2 linked regions of the Astyanax mexicanus genome follow. The protein of the gene in region 1 interacts with the protein of each later gene in a biochemical or structural test. Links are inferred from orthologs where the notes say so. Each region holds a gene or a part of one and is shown on either strand. Other genes may lie near its edges.

The links.
Region 2: of the proteins of pparg (region 1) and cdk5, one has a biochemical effect on the other in vitro, tested with the Homo sapiens proteins (3 studies listed by BioGRID, with this or other methods). The link is inferred for Astyanax mexicanus from reciprocal best matches to the Homo sapiens genes PPARG and CDK5.

Annotation. Positions count from the first base shown.
Region 1 is NC_064431.1:12,903,010-12,913,226, forward strand, and holds the start of pparg (peroxisome proliferator-activated receptor gamma), read right to left. Parts: upstream 4,213-10,217; 5' UTR 3,991-4,212; coding exon 3,981-3,990; intron 1-3,980. UniProt on the Homo sapiens protein: Nuclear receptor that binds peroxisome proliferators such as hypolipidemic drugs and fatty acids.
Region 2 is NC_064413.1:12,470,722-12,481,143, forward strand, and holds the start of cdk5 (cyclin-dependent-like kinase 5), read left to right. Parts: upstream 1-6,046; 5' UTR 6,047-6,162; coding exon 6,163-6,199; intron 6,200-7,544; coding exon 7,545-7,633; intron 7,634-7,891; coding exon 7,892-7,959; intron 7,960-8,096; coding exon 8,097-8,157; intron 8,158-8,419; coding exon 8,420-8,476; intron 8,477-10,422. Other genes in the region: abcb8 (mitochondrial potassium channel ATP-binding subunit), read left to right, coding at 1-17, 2,594-2,677. UniProt on the Homo sapiens protein: Proline-directed serine/threonine-protein kinase essential for neuronal cell cycle arrest and differentiation and may be involved in apoptotic cell death in neuronal diseases by triggering abortive cell cycle re-entry. Interacts with D1 and D3-type G1 cyclins.

The DNA of each region.
Region 1 (10,217 bases):
TATCCTTATTTTTTTGCTGTCCAGCAGCTGCGCTGTATGGTCCAGACAAACTGCTTTTTTATTTGATTACCTATTTGATTAATAAGACTTTATTATCCCATGTCAGATCTCTAATTCTTCTTTTTCACAAACTGAGACTTAGTCCAATGTTAGGCTGAGCTTAAGGCTGGCGTTGCCATGTGGGTCAGCTAAACCTCTTCCTCCAGTTTCCCAGAGACTTTTGAAGGTGTAGGAAACAGTACTAACTGCTCTCTGGCTTCATCTTTAATTTCTTATAAAAAAAAGTCTTCTACTTTTAATAGTTACAGAGTGATCTGGGTTTCTGTGTCTTTTTCTAGTTATTATGATAAATGTGTGTATGTGCTGTGTGTAAGTGTGTAAATGCAGCAGTATCTGTTTCAATACTGTTTCGGTTTTATTTACAATATACATTTTTTACCATACTAAAACTACTTTTTGGAAAATGTATTGTATTATGTGCTATTTACAGTTACTGACTGGACATAAAGAGCTTAAATAAAAAGGGGAAAAAAATAAAGGTGTTCCAAAACTTTTGATAAGTTGTGTATATTACATAAAACATACTTAAAAATAAGTATTGTTATCACAGTATCAACAATATATGTTCATATTTTTTATTATAATTGCAAAGGGCACAATGTAACATCGCAGGAGGCTAATTAAACCATACATGTAATTCTTTGCTAACTTGCTTGATACAAAAGGAAGCTTATATCTGTCCAATATTATTTATTTTACTTCAGTCTTCAATACACAAACTGTGTAACTGGAAATATCATGAAACATTAAATTTTGGACTGAAATGTGGTGAAATTTTGTGCATTTTAAATATGATAATATATCATTTTTTCCAGTATTGTGCAGAGCTATAAAGAATAAAACTCCTTTTTCTTTTCAGCCCATTTACAGAACTACTGCGTCTACACTCTTCCAGTCTTTTCTCTGTGATGATTTAAGGTAGTTACACGTGACAGTGCTGAAGATCCACATTAAAGCTTCTCCTGTTTCCGCACAGCTGATTGGTCCAGACAGTGTTTGCGTTAACCTGACGTGCGGAGCAAACCGAACAAAACATGACAAACGATCAAAGTTAACGCAGTGCTGACAAACAAAAGCCTACAAATGTCATGTGGACCAGCCCTTAATGGACCTTCAGCAACTGTCCCATCAAGTCTGATCTTGCAATGTACACAAATGTACAGGTGAAAGCTTTACATTTAGCTTTGTGCTCGGACACAGACGTTTCTCCCGCTTTACATACAGTAGACCTGCGTAGATGCTCTGTCCTTTTAAAATAGTTCCATAAACACCCATTATAAGCTCAAAAAGCTCTTTGCTTGTTTTTTTCACATTGAAGAAAACCCTTTTATAGGTGTTTCTACATTATATGGGACCTTGACCTTGACCTACATGCTTCAATACTTCTACTTCTTTAATAATTGTGAATAGACCCATGATCCCTTAAAGAACCATTGAATGCTCTTGAAATAGCACTTTGGTTGGTTATGGGTTCTTTGGACTGATTAAAAACCTCCTGTAGATGGTTGTATTTGGAAACAAGACAACCTTAAAGAACCACTAAATAAAAACTAATAAAACTAAATAAAAAAACTTTCTAGGTGGTTCTATTTAGAAGAATGAAAAATCAATGTACCATGTGTTTTTCAAATAGTGCTTTGTTTGGCTTAATGTTCTTTAGATTGGTAGAAAATCTTCTGTAGAAGGTAAAATTAAATGGTGTTTTGTTTGGTTAAATGGTGCTTTGTTTGGCCCATTTGGAAAACCTTGGAAGGTGGACTTATATACAGAGTAGGACCTATATAGTGTTTAATGTAGAGTTCATTTATTCTTCTATTTTAAAAGAACCCTTTATTCCGTACTCAATGGAACCCGTTTTTTGTGTAGGGTAGAGTGTAGGGTCTGTGAGAGGAGCTCTGATTCAGTTAGATGGAGAGAATGTGAAGGAAAGAGTGATGATGTGAAATCCCTTCCACAGGGACGGGATTGCAACAAGAACATGATGTTTTCCACTGATATTTCCTAACAACAGCGGTGGTCAGGCCAAGATGAAGTGTGGAAAACAATGATTTTACATATATTTGAAGTTTCATCACTTACAGTGTTACACAGCTTCACACGGATACACCAAAAACCTCTTGTATTAAAAGTGCAGATCAAGTACAAAGGAGAAGTTCAATGGAGTGATGGAGTATTTATATAATGCTGTCAGAATTTAAAGCCTTTAAATGTCAAACATTTGTGGAAATCTGGGCTACGTCCCAAATGTGTACTTCACACTAATACTATCAGGTATATATTATTATATAATATATTATTATACATTTAGCACTGAGTACTAAACTCAGTAGTGCTGGTTTGGCAGATTAGTACACAACCTTTTTAACATACTAACCTGTTTTAAAAGTGTGAAGCACTGCTAAGCCAATATACAACACGTCATTGACATCACTGCTGCACTTGCATCATTATCCACCATTTATTTTCAAATAATTGTCTTGTACGAAAAGTACTTCCTCACCACGTTGACCACATTGTGGGGTGTCATTTTGTATAATGCTAGAGCATCTTTGGTCTTCATTACAGGCATTTTACTTAAATGATGACCTGCAACTAGTGGCCCTATCTTTTCTGAACCCCGTATCTTTTCTGTGTGCAACAGTACAATACTCATTCATCTCTGATTGAAACTGTGAGGGATGCTATTGGATGCACTGTCAACATTCATATACCCCTACTGTTATATCTGCAGGAACTGCATAAGAGTATTGAGGCTGCATGGGATGGACATCATTCGCAGGACATCATTAGGAACCTCTACAACTCCACGCCTGTTGCATATGCATTATACACTACTTCTGTATGTGTAGCTCAATAAATATTAGCCAAACTAGTGTACATTTAAAAAAATGTTTTGTTCCTAGTAACTTCATCATTATCTTCATCACAGAGTCTGCACCAGAGTTCATGTCTTTGTTATGTTGTGTAGGTTTGCTCCAGTTAGTTTCGGTTTCACACTGCAGTTTAGTGAGCAGAATAAAGAACTTTACTACATCCTGTCATCATCAGCTACATGGGTGGAGTCTCTCTATACTTAATATTTATTGGTTTGCAGAATGTTAGATATGAATATGCCGAGTTGCTTTGCCTGGTGTGGCCGATTCTAGCTCTCTGTCAGAATCTGAAAATATTCTTCTCAGATTCCTTTTATTTCTGTTTATAAATAAGGGTTAACCTACTGTTACAGTAAATTAATGATTTTCCAGTTTAAGCGTTTGTGTCCTAAATGCTGCATCCTGCACATCAAGGGTCTTTTTTCTTCTGGTTTGTTTAAAGACTGCATAAACTTCCTGTAATAAGTTAGAAAGTCAGAAGGTCTAAACCATCTAGAGAAGTGTTTTCACACTGCAGATGAACCGGACCTTATTTCAGTAGATCTAGACTGAGACCACCTCTTTTGGTTGGACCAAACTCTCCAAATCAAACAGCTGCTTGTGTGGTTCGCAGTCCTGTTCACACCTGCTGGTTTGATTCAGACCCAAACTGAAATTCTGACAATTCCGACCAAACAAGGCAGGTGTGAAAGCACCATTAATCATCAATACTTCAGGCTGATCATCCTGATGATCCACATAACTGGTAAAAGCACAGACTGAAACTGGTTTGGTCCAAAAGTGGTTTAAACACCTGAAAGGTTTGAGGGCATTATTGTCCAGCAGCACTGCCAATAAAATAAAATAAAATGTATGCATGATCCACATCAGCTTCCTATTTACCATTGAAACTCAACAGGTAAAAAATCAATCTGCATTAAAACAGGGATTGCAAAGTTCTAAAAATGCGCTGAACACACCAGGAAACACTGTTCTTTGTGGACAACTAATATTCAAGAAATGAGAGCAAGGAATATACACAAGAAAAACCCCAGAAAATCCACTTACCAACCTCCATTTACCACCCGTCACAGTCACATAGTCCTGAGGCTGAGGGAAATCACAGGTCTGGCAGCTGAGAGGTGCTACCGTTCACGTAGCTACAGTCTGCAGCAGAGCCGGGATCATCAGTAGAGGACACCAGCCGAACCTGCCTGACCACATTCAACGACATCTCCACATTCATCTCAGCGAGGCGGGCTGATAAGCCCTCAAACAGGCGACTGACTGCTCCTCTCGCTGTGGGATTCTGACCAGATAATTCAGCACAACCTGCATACCACACTCCTCTTCCTCAGACCAGAGGAATGTACAGTGCTAAACTTTCAGACTGTTTACCTCCAGGGTGTTCTTACAGCAGATCTTTCCTCAACTCTAACGCCTGTCTGCAGAAAATTCCCGTAAATGGTGAAACGGAGGGTAAACAGTATCAGACTAGGTGTAGCATAGGGGGTAAAAACATTGCACAACCTCCCTGCAGTCCAAAAAAATAAACGTACTACAAAAGGTTCTTCAGGCAATGACACAAAATAACTATTTGTTGTTCCATAATGTACAATTTCTGCAATAGAATTTTGTGAATTTGAATATTTAAAGACCCCTCTACAATTTTTTTTAAAGAAACTATAACTGGATCTGCAATGAGCTTGTTCATAGCGATAGTATCTGATCTTCACCCTGATTATATTTTTACCACATGTTTATATTTGCTAGTCATATGTGTTACCAAGCTGGACTCCAACTGCTGTGTGGGACGGAATATGCAAAAATGTGTTAAATGTCTCTCAGACCACCTACTGAAATGTTTTAAGTAATCCATTGTGTATCTGTTATATCTGCATCTCAGACCAACTTCTGAAGTGGTCAGAGTGATTGAATTTGTATTGGATTAAATGCATCTAAGACCATGTCTTGAAGTGGTTTGATTGATCGAATATAGTCTGTTTTAACTGTTCTCAGACCACCTCCTGAAGTCGTTTGAGTGATCGGATTTGTATCTGTTTAAAATGTGTCTTTGTGTGTTTACAATTGCATTTTGGCCGTATCTACAGTGGCGTCAAAAAGTATTTGCCCCCTTACAGATTTTTCTTGTTTTTGCATGTTTGTCAAACTTACTTTTTTCAAATTATCAAATTACATCTGGCATATAACTAACACATGATATATATATATAAAAAAAACATTATACTGAACATAAAACATGATGGTGGTAGTGTGATGGTCTGGGGCTGCTTTGCTGCTTCAGGGTTTGGATAACGTGCTGTAATAGATGGAACCAGGAATTCTGCTGTTTACCAGACAATCCTGAAGAAGAATATCCTGCCATCTTTTCCAGACTTCAAGCTCAGACGTACTTGGGTTCAGTAGCAGGACAATGATCAAAGCACACAAACAACAAGTCCACCTCTGAATGGCTTGGAAAAAAAAAATGAAGCTTTTGGAGTGGCCTAGTCAAAGTCTGATTGAGATGCTGTGGTTCATGGTCGAAAACCTCCAATCAAGCTAAATTAAAACAATTCCGCAAAGAAAGTGAGCCACAATTCCTCGATAGAAATGTGAAAGACTTGTTGCCAGTTATCGGTAAAGCTTGATTAGAGTTAGGTAGTAAGTTTAGGGGGCAAACACTTTTTCACACAGGGCTAGATTGGATTGGATACTTTCTTTCCTTTAATAAATCATATTAACAATTAAAAAGTATTTACTCAAATCATCTTTTCTGATATTTAAGTTTGTTTAATAATTGAAAAAATATAATTACGACAAAGCAAAGCAAAAATACATTTTATAGGTATAATCATGGTACTAAAGAAGCATTAAATTACTCATAGATCCTGTTTACACCTGACATTAAAGATCAATGAGGCGATTTTTGGGGGTGACCAGAGATGAATCTTGTCCTCATTTAATACATGTGTAAACAGGATGTTTTCTGTGATCAGTTTATGTGGAGGAGTGTGGGTTTTCCACCACTGCATAAGAAAACTTTAAATAAATTGGTATTTTCAATGATGTGGAAGAGAGCCTAAAATGCCTAAAATTTTTTTTTTGCCATTTCTGGCAGAATAATTTTGCCTGCCAAATATTTGGCCTATCAAGCTTATTAAGGTCTATAGACTGATATCTGGTGTGAAATGAACTTGGTAGTGTAGTGAAACGTGATTGGATAGTTGTATCTGCTGTAATTGCAAACGAGTGGAAAAGAGGAAAGAGCTTCATCTCTGTGCTCTAAACTCTTCACTGCAGTGCTGCTGGTTGGTCTCTTTGAGCACTTTCTGAAACAGTGTTTCTCTGAAAAGTGGAGAGTGTGGCTCAGGTTCAGGATTTGGTCGCGACACTGTAGGTGCGACATTTTCAATGGAAAAGGACGTGACCTCAAGATTCTGCATACAGAGAAAATGTGACTTCCTGACCTCCGCTCTGCCAGCAAAATCTCCCCCACTGAGTGTCACTCGTGCCCTCTCGCTATGAGACGGAGCCCAGACACCGGCTTGTCTCGCCGCCCACACGGCTACTACTGAATTTGCTGGGCAGGTGTTCGTCACTTTGATACAGGAATTACACTACGAGACTGGTAGACCACATGCTGGGTAGTCTGGCATAGATTTGTCAGGCTTGGCACGCGTGAACCCTGATTTGTTCTGAGTGATTTGGGAAACATGGTGTGCGGGGAAATCCCGAGACTTTCCTTCTGAACATCTGCTGTTTTTAGAGATGATTGAGATGATTGATGGAGGAAAAATGTTCAATACTGCACTACTGTTACATTTAAAAAGCCTATAGAGCCAATATCCACAGCTAGTCAATCATTTTTACTGACATCAATATTGTCATAATTATTTTAGTTTTTCTTAGCAAGGAGAAACCATTTATGTAAATGTGCTGACATGTTTCTATTTTTTTTTGTTTTGTTTTGTTTTATTTAAGATCTTTAAAATGACCAGACATTTTTATTTCAATTCCAATGTATGAATATTCTCAACAATGTAAAGTTCAATAAGCTTTTCAACATTATCACTATTATCAGTGGCATTAAATGCAGTGTCTTGAAATGACAATAAAATATTTTATCTCAATTATTTCTGGTAAAGTAAATCATCCAAACAAAATATTGAGACAGGTAGTATTGAGACAGAACTTAAACATAATGGGAAAAAAATCTGTGTAGAATAATAGTTTTAATCCAATCAGAACAAAGACATCTAACATCACACTATAACACTGATATCTAGTGGGTGGTGTTTAAACACAACACTAAATTAACCACTAATCTTTATATATAAACTAATAATAAAAAAATAATACTGTATTTTTGGAAATCGAGAACTAAACTGTTTAGGGTTTTTGTGACTGATTCTTGAACATTGTTCTCAAGAATCTGCTGATATTGACTGGAATCTATGGGTGGGAGATATGGCTCTAAAATAATATCACGATATTTCATGGTATTTTCATGATAACGATACTTTTGGCGATATGACAAAACACTGAATTAGAAAAATTATTTAGAATTGTATTATTGCATGCAACATGATATGGCTAACTGAGATATTAAAAAAAATAATAATTTTATCAGATTTGTAAAAGAAGTCAATGACTCAGAATGTCATTATACTAGTAATGCACTCCAAATATCTCTTTATATCAAGGATTAAAGTTATATAATCTGTCTCTAGTAGATATATAATGGGAAATGAGAACAGTGTGAATTTTTCTTTTGCTAAAAACGCCAAAAAAGTAGTACTATGTTGTGATAATTAGGGGTGGGTTTATATGACACGATATTTCAGGATATAATATCGTTCACGGTATTCAAATTTTTGGGTGATATTATCAGGTATGATACAATATGGCACAACCCTACTAGAAACCATGCTACCCTTAACTTGAACAAGATTCCCAGTACCTGCACTGACCACACAGCCCCACAGCATGATGAACCACCACTAAATTTTACTGTGGGGAGCAGGTAAACTGCTCAAATTGCTGATTAAAACAACCAATGATTTATTAAGGAAAATCATTAAAAATGATCATGGGTGCCCAAACCTTTTCATTATTAAGTAGAGAGTGAACAGTCAGTTCTTAAATTTGATTTGTTGTTTGGGAAAAATGGACAAGCGTCAGAAACTGAGACACTTTAACAGAAACCAAACTTTGATGCTCTAGACGACAAAACACCTCAGCATGAACTGATCAGAACCTACCGAAATAACTTAAGTCAGGATCATGAGCACCAAAGGGACACTGATGCTCATGAAGGTTCCGCCCACTTCACAACTTAACAAAAGGAGATACCACAGGATGCTTCCAGGTGTAAAATACACAATATTAGGCTGATGATCTTAATGTTATGGCTGATTGGTGCACATGTAAATGCAAATTTATATATTTTTTATATATATTCATGACATCACAAAATAAAAAAATAAAAAACTGTGTAATTAACACATTCTAAGACATACGCTATGTCTTAAAAAGAATGAGTGCAGCATGGACTTAGCTACTTTTAGTTGCGCCTATTACTGCTGAGACACACACACACACAGCTTATCTAGTCCCTGTAGGAGAGAAATATTGCCAATAGAATAGGACTGGAATGATGATGGTTCAATACTTTTAGATGAAATGATTTGGGGAGTTGCCTGAGCTCACGAAGTTCATGTTGCTAAATGCAATCAAATCCTCACAGCAATGCAGCTCCAAAATCTAGTAGAAAGCCAAACCTCTGTGGGCAGTATAGGCATTTACTCATTTCAACAAAAGCATGACAAAATGTATTTTTAATACCTTGATTTCCTAAATAAAAACAATACTGTCCCAATACTTTTGTCCACTCAGTGATTCATACAGTTGTGCCTGAGCTAAAAAATCATGTTTTTACACTTTCTGTCTCTGAAAAGCTGCAGAAAAAGCTTTTTTGGGCTGCGAGACAGCGCACTTCCAGGTTTTGAAATGAAGCAGCAGAACACACTTTTAGACTCTCAGATTATGCATTTTGTTCATTTCCCAGCTTTAAAATAAGGAAATAGCCATTTTCTACTCTTATAAACATGCAATACTCATGTTATCCTCTCAGTCCACTGGTGGCAGATAAAAATCAGATTTCTGGGTGAAATGTCCCGTTGAATGTCCCCTGGGCTGCAGTGACTCAAGTTTATAGGAGATGATGATGAAGAAATTGGTAGCCCTGCTTATAAGTACCCATGATGAGCATACAGTGGACAGAAAGCCTGGCCTAAAATTGTAGACAGCTTTTAACCCAGTTGCCAACGTCTCAGCACTGTCAGTGTTTGACTGAATCATTCATACCTAATAATGACTAATTTATCATATTTTTATTGCAGTGTTTCTTCTAATGATAGTCTTTTTAAATTAGACGACAGACCCAGACTCCACCTCAAAACGGCATGTTTAAGTTCATTTTACGCTCTACTCACTTAAGTTAAATGAATTAAAACGTTCCACAACACTAAGACTCAGTTTACTACCTCTTCACACACAGGCTGTTTTCCAGCTGAAAGATACAAGATGTACAGGATAGAATAGTAATGCTATCTAACATTATAAACTAATTCCAAAAACATCTTCCAGGAACCTGCTCAAGTTGGGCCTAGCCCTGACCATCCCAGCTAGCCTATCCCTGCCTATCTTGCTAATAAACACTAGCTGTAAAAGTTTATGCTTAAACAGAGGCAGCTAGTAGAGTAGAGATAATGAGAATTCTGTGAAGTTCCCCATCCTAAGAGTAGCTATCTGTGATTAGGTAATTAATAGGTGAGCTGTTTACGAGTAAATTGGGCCTGTTTATGGCAGCAGATCATTTATTACTAGGTTGTGTGTTGAAATATGTGTTTACTTTGTCCTTTGCCATGAGTTTAGCTAATGCTATAATTGCGCTGTCTCTAGAATAGAGCAATTTACCTTCTAAGATATCTGAGATCTCTTAAACACTCAAGGATGTGAAAAGTATTTCCATAGATTACTCAGGGTAGAAGTACAGATACTAGGGTTTAGAAATACTTCTGTAGTAGTTGTATCAACTCAAGTGTAAAAGTACTGGTTTAAAAAAAACGTATAAAAGTAAAATTAATGTAATGGTAAAAAATGTCATTAAGAACAAAAGCTTAGGCTGTGACAGGGCACATGTGCAGTTGTAATAGGTCACGTATAAACCAAACCAAGCAATCAAACAAACAAACAAAGTTTTTGTACTTCATTACCTGACACCTCTGTAAACATCTAAAA
Region 2 (10,422 bases), on another chromosome or scaffold:
ACGGCAAGGTGGTGGAGGTGAGGATATTAGAGACCTGTTCGGATTAGAACAGGCCAGTAGGAATCTTTCTGATCTTGTAGTTTTGGTCAAGGTGCCAGAGTAATCATGGCTAGATGTTCTGTAGATGAATATGATACAGAGGGAATATGGTAGGAAAGTGATTAAACAATTATGACTGTATGTAGTAGAATTACATGTTTGTCATTTAAAGCTAAAGACGATTGAATAGAGTTGCTTGTTTTTTTCTAACCAAACACCATTGTCATGATCATTATCACCCACTGAACTGTCTACTGTGAGTGGAAATGGAATTTAATGCCTTCTATGACATATTCTATGATGGTAAACACAAGATGATGTGGATTGAGGAATGTTAAATATCCTTACAACCGATCCATCTGGCACCTTCTGTCAGGCCTTAGTCCAACTCTAAATAATTTAGTTGCTTTGCAATGAGGCCAGTGTTCAACCTTACTCACAAAATAACCCCTCACAAAGCGTACTTCTATACTTATAGAAACATATAGAACTATAGACAATTACTTTTAAAATGTTCATTCTTGTATATAGAAATGAGTATATTTACTCATTTTTATGCATTCAAAAATGTATTTATAGAATTTGTAGGTTAATATAAAACATTAAACAAATGCATATTTATTAGCCTTTCTATTAGAATGCAATAAACACAGCTCTGGAAAAAAATAAGTGACCACTTATCAGTTTCTCTGATTTTTGTCATTTATAGGTATATGTTTAAGGAAAACTAACTTGCTGTTTTATTCTATAAACTATGGACAACATTTCTCCCAAATTTCAAATCAGAATATTGTCTTTTAGAGCATTTATTTGCAGAAAATGAGAAATGGCTGAAATAACAAAAAGATGCAGAGCTTTCATACCTCAAATAATGCCAAAAAAAAGTTCATATTTCAGAGTTCAATGACCCTGTTTTTTAATTAAAGTTTTCATGCATCCAGACTTGGGCTGTATTCGGAATGGCATACTACATACTACTCGCGTACTAAATCTGCCTAAAGCCAGTATGCAGTACGCAGTATGTGACCAAACTGAGGATCTGTAGTGCACTACAGGTACCCGGATGGTGTACGTACTACTCCGCTCCGATTTCGCAGTGTGCATGGGGAGCTATCTTTGCGGTGTACTGCATCCCAACATGCATTGCGACTGGCTTCTCCAGCTCGCTTCAGAAAAAAACAAGATGGATGCGAGTGCGAGATATTTTTAAATTTTATAAATAAATATATTTTTAAATTAAGGGAATTATTTTGGAAAGTATTGGCTCACCGCTGTCGAGCCCCCTCCGCTGCCGCGGCCACGCGTTTTCCGCGGGTGGGGACCCTCCGCTGCCGGGACAGCAGAGGGTCTCGACAGCGGTGAGCCATTACTTTCCTTGATGCAGTAAATAAATCCCTCAGTTTTAATAAATTATTCTGTTATTTTAATAAATGATTCCCTCAGTTTTAATAAATGATTCCCTCAGTTTTAATAAATGATTCCCTCAGTTTTAATAAATTATTCTGTTATTTTAATAAATTATTCCCTCAGTTTTAATAAATTATTCTGTTACTTTAATAAAAAATTCCCTCAGTTTTAATAAATCGTTCTCTTTATTTAATAAATAATGACCTTTGTTTAATAAATCGTTCTGTTGATTTAATAAATAATTCCCTTAGTTTAAATACATATTTTTCTTTTAAATAAGGGAATTATTTGAATACAAATTAATTGTTTGATTTGTGTTGAGATTGTGTAAATATGAATGAGAGTTTGTTTAAATGTTTTCTTCTTGTTGGTACTTACATAGATGAAAATAGTAATCTACTAAAATAAATAGAAAAACATATTTAAATATAACTGGAACATACTTGGGTTGTGGGGGCTGCTGCTAATTGGTTGTTAGAATTGGGTTAGCTGCTAAACTCTAAAATAAAAGCAGCAATTGCTGTTCTGGACAGTATGCAGATCTCATTAGTTTTAATAATGAAAAGGTAGGACATTTTTCATGTTCTTTCTGTTTACAACTCACTCTAAGGAATTCGGAGCACTACAGAGCACTGATTGGTGTGTCAGGGACCGTGTAGGGTACTACAATCAAAAGTGTTGCAGTACCGAATACTACATACTGGGCAGTGTGTAGTATGCAGTACATACTAGTGCAGTATGCAGTACGCAGTACAGTAGTATGCCATTCCGAATACAGCCATGTTCTCCTCCACCAGTCTTACACGCTGTGTGAACTTGATATGCATTGGTGATAACATACATTAAATGTGTGCACATTTGTACTTAAAGAGCTAATGACAGGATTATATCATTTATATTACATTTTTTTTACTTTGTCACTCACTTTGATGGTCACTCACTGTGTACTCATTCACTTAGTTAGTCGGTTACTCACTCAGACACTCATGTGCTGTAAAAGACTAGCACTGTATTATAAAGACAGAAGGGGAATACAAGCATTACTTGTTAATTTACATTTGTATAAAATGTAATAATTTTCTGACTTTAGTTTAGCCTGTTATTTTGCTTATTTTGTAACTGTTTGTTTATCTTTTTGTTATTCAAGACTGGAACCCATCTGGAATTATTGAGCAAAGGGGGTCTGTATGCTGAGCTGATCAGAAGACAAAGATCTAATGGCCAACAATGAATCCGTGATGTGGTGGAAGTGCAGCACTACAGTCCAAAACACTGACTGGTCTTGTTCATAGTTTACTGGATGTAAACAAAACCTTTTAATTACATTTCCCTGTATGATGTGTTATCAGGGTGATTTACTACACTACTTGTAGATCAAAGGATTGTGAATTGTGAGAAAGTTTTGAGCTCAGGATTGGAGTAGTTTTGAATGAGCGGTGTTTCTAAGCATTATAGAGCATACTGTCTACTGACTGTAAGTATTTTAGTAATATATTTTTTAAATAATATGTAGAATTACATGTTTTATGTACATGAATGTATAGTAAAGTGTATGTGTTATAATGAATTTCAGAAAGAATGCCTGAGTAAACACGAGGGTTAAGATGTATATTTGATGTAACTGGAGTATTGTTAATAAATAAAACTGATTTATTACACCTCAGCAATCATGCAAATATATATACCACAAAAATACACATTATGCACTTGGTACACCCTTTTAGATATTTTTTGCCCATAATAGAATTTTTTTTCTACAAGCTTATGTCAATAAAAGAGTAGTATATTGATTTATGGCAATAAAGTAATGCAGATTTTGGCGGACAGTGGTGGCACCGCAGGTAGCGTGTTTGTCGCACTGCTCCAGGGGCCTGGGTTTGGGGGTTCAATCCCCGATCTGAACACTGTGATCGGTTTGGTGTGTACTCCCTGTGTCTGTGCAGATTTTCTCCAGGTAAAATACATAAACTAAGGCTTTTTTGAGCAATGTAAAGACTACCAAAGGTTAGTGTTCTGTTCATGATAAAGTATTTGGTGAGTTTAGGTTTCATCCTGAAATCAAACATCTTTGTAACATCTAGTCTAAATCTCTAAGCTATGTCTTAAAGCACTTTTAAATTTTGATTTACCGTCAAATCATTCTATGGATACATGGAGACTGTGTATCATATATCTACAGTTGCAAGAAAAAGTATGTGAACCCTTTGGGATTACTTGGATTTCTGCATAAATTGGTCGTTAAATGTGTTCTGATCACAAGTAACAACAATAGACAAACACTGTCAGCTTAAACTAAAACCACACACAAAAAAATATGTTTCCATGGTTTTATTGAACACAACATGTTAACATTCACAGTAAGGGGGGGAAGTATGTGAACCTTTGGATTTAATAACTTGACCCTCATTTGGCAGCAAAAACTGCAGCCAAACGTTTCCTGTAGTTGCAGATCAGACCTGCACATCAGGAGGAATTTTGGATTATTCCTCTTTACAAAACTGTGTCAGTTCAGCAATATTATTGGGATTTCTGGTGTAAATCTCTCTTTTGAGGTCATGATGCCACATCATCTCAATTGGGTTGAGGTCAGGACTCTCCAGAAGGTGCATTTTCTTCTGTTGAAGCCATTCAGTTAATGATTTACTTCTATGTTTTGGGTCGCTGTCCTGTTGCATCATCCATCCTCTGTTGAGCTTCAGACATATTATCTTAAGTTTTCCTGCAAAATGTCTTGGTTAACTTGGGAATTAATTTTTCCGTTGATGACGGCAATCTGTCCAGGCCCTGAGGCAGCAAAGCAGACCCAAACCATGATGCCCCTCCACCATATTTCACAGTTGGGATGAGGTTTTGATAATGGTGTGATGTGCCTTTTTTCTCCACACATACAGGTCCTCAAAAAATTTGCATATTGTGATAAAGTTCATTATTTTCTGCAATGTACTAATAAACATTAGACTTTCATATATTTTAGATTCATTACACGCAACTGAAGTAGTTCAAGCCTTTTATTGTTTTAATATTGATGATTTTGGCAAAAAAGTAAAGACAAAACAAAAATACTTATTTTAAAAAAATTGCATATTTCATCTGACCAATAAAAGAAAAGTGTTTTTAATGCAAAAAAAGTCAAGCTTCAAATGATTATGTTCAGTTATGCACTCAATACTTGGTGCAGAAATTACTGCTTCAATGCGGCGTGGCATGGAGGCAATCAGCCTGTGGCTCTGCCACACTTTTTCCTTCCCACAAACTTCCCACTGAGGTGCCTTGATACAGCACTCTGGGAACGGCCTATTCGTTCAGAAATTTATTTCTGTGTCTTACCCTCTTGCTTGAGGGTGTCAATGATGGCCTCCTGGACAGCTGTCAGGTCGGCAGTCTTACCCATGATTGCGGTTTTGAATAATGAACCAGGCTGGGAGTTTTTAAAAGCCTCAGGAATCTTTTGCAGGTGTTTAGAGTTAATTCGTTGATTCAAATAATTAGGTTAATAGCTCTTTTAGAGAATCTTTTCATGATATTCTAATTTTGTGAGATAGGAATTTGGGGGTTTCATGAGCTGTATGCCAAAATCATCAGTATTAAAACAATAAAAGACCTGAAATATTTCTGTTGGTGTGCAATGAATCTAAAATATATGAAAGTTTACTTTTTATCATTTAATTATGGAAAAAATTAACTTTATCACAATATGCTAATTTTGTTGTGTGTTCCTTCCAAACAACTCAATTTTGGCTTTATCTGTCCACAGTATATTTAGCCAGTACTGCTGTGGAACATCCAGGTGTTCCTTTGCAAACTTCAAACATGCAGCAATGTTTTTTTGGACAGCGGTGGCTTCCTCCATGGTGTCCTCTCATGAACTTCATTCTTGTTTAATGTTTTTCTTATTGTAGGTTTGTCAACAAAAATGTTAGCATGTGCCAGAGATTTCTGTAAGTCTTCAGCTGATTCTTCCTCACCTCATTGATCATTCTGTGCTGTGCTCTTGCAGTCATCTTTACAGGACGATCAGACCTACGGAGTGTAGCAACAGTGCTGAACTTTCTCTATTTGTAGACCATCTGTCGTACCGTGGACACATGAACATCAAGACTTTTAGTGATACTAAATAAAAATAAGCTTCAGCCCTCTTTACAGAGGAATTAAGGAATTTATAATAATTAATTGCGTTACCACCTGCCCCCTTTTTGAAGACATACGATGCCCTTAAGTTACCTAGGCTATGTTCACATTACCAGACTGAAGTGACTTAAACCTGTTTTTCTTGCTCAATGTGGCTCAGATTAGATTTTTTTATGGCTGTATGAATGTGAAATCCAATTCAAATGTCAAATCAGAATTCATGCGTCTTTATGCTTTTACGCATGGGATTGGCTCTTAGACTGTCTATTGGTTGAGCTAAGCGGTAGGGCCAAGGATGAATTGGAATTGAGCGTAACTCTGTTTTGTTAAATGTTTTTAAAATGATATATTTAACATGTTAATGTTACATTTATATACATAATAGCTTTCTTTATTACCTCAGGATCAATACTTACTAAGTGACTTTTATTTTGAAGCTTCTCCTCACTGTAGCCATGTTGCTGGAGCAGCCACGCCCCTTCTGTTGTTGACTTGCGATCAGCGGTACCTGCCTGAGCTGAACCGAGCGGAGCAGCGGAACCGGGCCAGCGGCTGAGAGATAGATACGGCGAGCTTCACTGGTTCAGCATGCAGAAATATGAGAAGCTGGAGAAGATCGGAGAGGGTAAGCCCGAGCTGTGCTGCCTCCCTGCTGTCCGGCTGGGAGAGACGCTGCAGCGGTTGTTAGCTGGGTTAGCCGGGCTAGCTGTGTTTGCTAGCTGGCTCGCTTAGCTTGGGGACCAGAGAGCTTAACCCAGCGTTACCGGCGAAGGCCAGCCTGCCTGCGGGCCATAGGTTGTAAATCAGTGGGAGAGCTACAAACAGTGACAGGAGATTAAAGAGCTGCCATCAACAAAGCCACACACAGCCAGAGTTCAGCACATTTACCTTTACAACGAGCCGGAGTTACCTGGAGGCTTCCATTGGAGGCTTCCAGCTCGCCAGCCGCTGGTATCGCACACAGACAAGACAGGCTGTGACTTAGCTAACGCTAACGTTAATTAACGATAAAAAAAAAAATAATAATAATAATGTGCTAGATTAACTAGCTACAAAACACGTAAATTAGCTAAGTAAGCTGTTAGTTAGTTAGCTACCTAATGCACTTAGTCCACACATACATAAATGTATATATAATAGTGAATAATATGTTGTAAACATGATGAATTGTAGCCTGTAATTGATGTTGTGGCAAACCAGTTCTAGAATTTGCTGGAGTCAGAATTGTATACACTGCAAACCGTTTATTTACATCGTGGTCTGTCACAATACGATTTTTTTGTGGACGATATGTGTTACAGACATATAAGGTGAGTGTTACAGAAACTAGACAAATGGCTAATATCCCCTGGTTAATAGTCTCACAAATTAAATCTGTTTTTGACTCAAAAGGAGTCTTAACTGTGAGTAATAGGGCTTTGCTCCTCTGTTCATTCAGAAAGAGAGCAGTAGAAAGAAGCAAGACACAGCAGGGATCATTAATCCCAAAATAACATCAAAGAAGAACAACACATACTGTCTCTCACACTGTGTGTGTGTCAGTCTGTTATTTTAGAATAAATCTGTTACAGGATGTATTTTTCCAAACATACAGTACCAGTCAAAAGTTTGAACATGTGGAATTTAGTGTTAAAGAAACCAAAATATGTTTAATACTTGAGATTCTTCTAAGTAGCACATTTATCTTTGAGTTTGTGAATCACCTGAAATAGTTTTCTCAGCGTCTTAAAGGAGTTCCTGGAGGTGCTGAACCATAGTTGCTGCTTTTCCTTCACGTTGTGAAGCTCCAGCTCATCCCAAATCACCTCTAATCACCATCTCAGTTGATCAGGTTTAGGTCAGGGGATTAATGTGGAGGACTAACACTTTTTTAAACATTGAATGAGAAGAGTTGTGTGCAAACATTTGACTGATACTGTAGTTATATGTTTCATCGTCTCTGAGTGCATGCTGTTTCTGTTCTCCAACAGGTACATATGGAACAGTCTTCAAGGCTAAAAACCGAGAGACGCACGAGATAGTGGCTCTGAAGCGGGTCAGGCTGGATGATGATGATGAGGTCAGGAGATCAGACAGTGCTACTAATGTTATTAGGGCTGTGTATCGACAAGAACTTGGTTATAAATCAATATATTGCAGTATATTTTGACGCTGTAAGCAAGGCAATATTTTGCCATTGTTTACTGAAAATGTAAGAAAACTGAAAGTAAATGTATACAGTATTACAGACCAAACTAAAGCAATACTTTTAACCGTTTCTTAAACACCTACATGTTCTGTTTAAGCATTGTTTTTAATTTTACTGTTTCTTTTGTAGGGGGTTCCCAGTTCAGCTTTAAGAGAAATTTGTCTCTTGAAGGAGCTGAAGCATAAAAACATTGTAAGGTAGGATTATTTACTGTAATTTCAATTGACATTTTACATGTATTTGAAATTATACAGTAGTTGACGTTTTCTTTTCCACTCATGCAGTGTTGAAAAATTTAAATGTTTGTTTTTTGTTTTTGTTTTTTTCTGTCAAGGTTGCATGATGTTCTACACAGTGACAAAAAGCTGACATTAGTGTTTGAATATTGTGATCAGGTAAGGCAACACTGTTTTATTATACAGTAAAAGGGCTGTAGTAGGTGCTGTAATCATAGCATAGGATAGTGGATGTTTTAGGGCTGTTTTCATTTCCATTATATGCCTACAATTATTATATCTGAGTATGTTGTCTTTGCACAGTATCCTTTATTTGAAAAACACAGGATGTGTTATTAAGACCCCCCACCCTATATATTACAGAAACTGATTTTGCAGTTCCATGTATCTTTTATATATGTATATATTTCTCTATTAACAGGATCTAAAGAAATATTTTGACAGCTGCAATGGCGATTTGGATCCAGAGATTGTAAAGGTATGTGGTCATTTTGTGTAGTCTTAATATAAAAGCTTCGGAAAGTCATGCTACTGTAACTTGAACAACTGTGTCCAGCATGAGTTTCAGATTAAAGGAGAACTCCTGTATAAAATTGACTTTGATTGTAGTAGAACATTATGAAAAGTACCACCTCCGTTCTCCCACTGCTTTCTGATGTTCCAGCAATTTTATTCCATTTGACCAAAGACCCTTAGACTGAGTGATACGTAGGGCTGGCCCGAATAGCGTTTTTTGAGCTCCGGATATTCGGCACTGATTCGAAGCGAATATTCGAATATTCGTTTTTAAAAAAAGAGGTAAAAAAAAAAGCAAATCACGGCCCCTTTAATCCACTGAAAAATGTTCAATTTGCTCTGACCGACGAGACATATTCACCCCGGATTTTTGGTGTTTTTATCCCGGATTTTTGTGTTTTCACCCCATATTTTTTCTGTTTTTAGCCCAGATTTCTTTGTGTTTTCATCCCGGAATTGCTGCTGCCCCACACCGAGGCTGCTGCTGCACGGTTTCTCCGCTGCGCAAGCCAGCCCAGTAAATTGCTGTTTGTGTTTTCACACTTAGGTTATTTGCTTAAAAAAACAAACAAACAAAAAACGTTTGTTCAGGAAGTATTTTATATTCTTAAACATTGTTGATTATATTAGAGGACAGTCATTGTAAACTGTACTTGGTCTATTTCGGTTAAAGGATTGTGCAGGGCATATTACTGATTTTGTATTTTTGCACTTGGGCTATAAGCTCAATATTAAATATTTCGTTTGCTTAGAAATTATTTTATATTTTTAAACCATTTTAAATTATATTAGATAAGAGGAAATTCGTTCAGACATCATTTTTGTAGGCCAGGCTTTTGTAACCGATTTAGCCCCTACTGTTGCCACATTACCCCTTACGTTTTATTATATAAATCAGTTTCGAAGAGCCTGCATTTTTTTTATCATGTATAATAGAGGTCTGCGCGAGACTGATTTTTAAACCCACTCTTCCACGCTCCCGCGTTTCTGTCTCGTTACCGCGCCGCAAAAAAATTGCTTCTTTTAATCCCGCGCCCGCCCGCCACATAAACATTTCTGCCGCTCCCGCCCCACGTTCCTAATATAAATTAAATAAACTACATTTAATGCTTCAAATTTACTTATATATTTATTAAAATAGTGTGGTCCCGTTCCTTACCCCAGTCCAAACACCATCGGTGTGTGCGTGTGTGTGTCGGTCCATCCTGCGCGTTGAGAGTTTTCTTTAGGTTTTTTTTTTTTTTACAATTATTACAGTTTTCTTAACTATTTATTAATTTGCTCCCGCATCGTCTGGATTAAACTCCCGCTCCAGCCAATAACAGTTCAGTTCTGTCCCGCGCGCAAGATATTCTGACGGGACCCGCGAGAACAGAAGTGGTTAGAGTGAGGTGGAACTCTGGAAAGGGGAAAAAAAACGAATATCCGAATACCAAAATTAAAAACCGAATACCTACTCAACGAACGAATATCCGAATACCCGAATATTCGGGTCCAGCCCTAGTGATACGGGGCATATTCTTGTCCCTGCAGATAAATCACTGTTTCCACCATTATCCAGGCTTAAAGTAGCTCCACACCTCATTTGGTAGAATCCAGAGAGCACTGACATTTTAAACGAGGAATTAAGAACTATAAAAACTACTGCTTACATCCCGTAGCCTTAGCTACAGCTCCAGGCACTGACATTTTAAAGTAAAGTCATGATCAGTAGACCTTCAAGCATGTAATATTGCAGACTGGAAAGGCACCAACTTTTCTTATGCCGTCCGATCACAGCACACATCCCGGCCACGTCGACTTCACGTATACAGCATGTATTTCCGTCAACAGTACATGCTTGTCGCTCTACTGATCATGTAAGATGGTGGCGCCCGGAGATGTAGGCTATGCTACTGGTTGAAAACA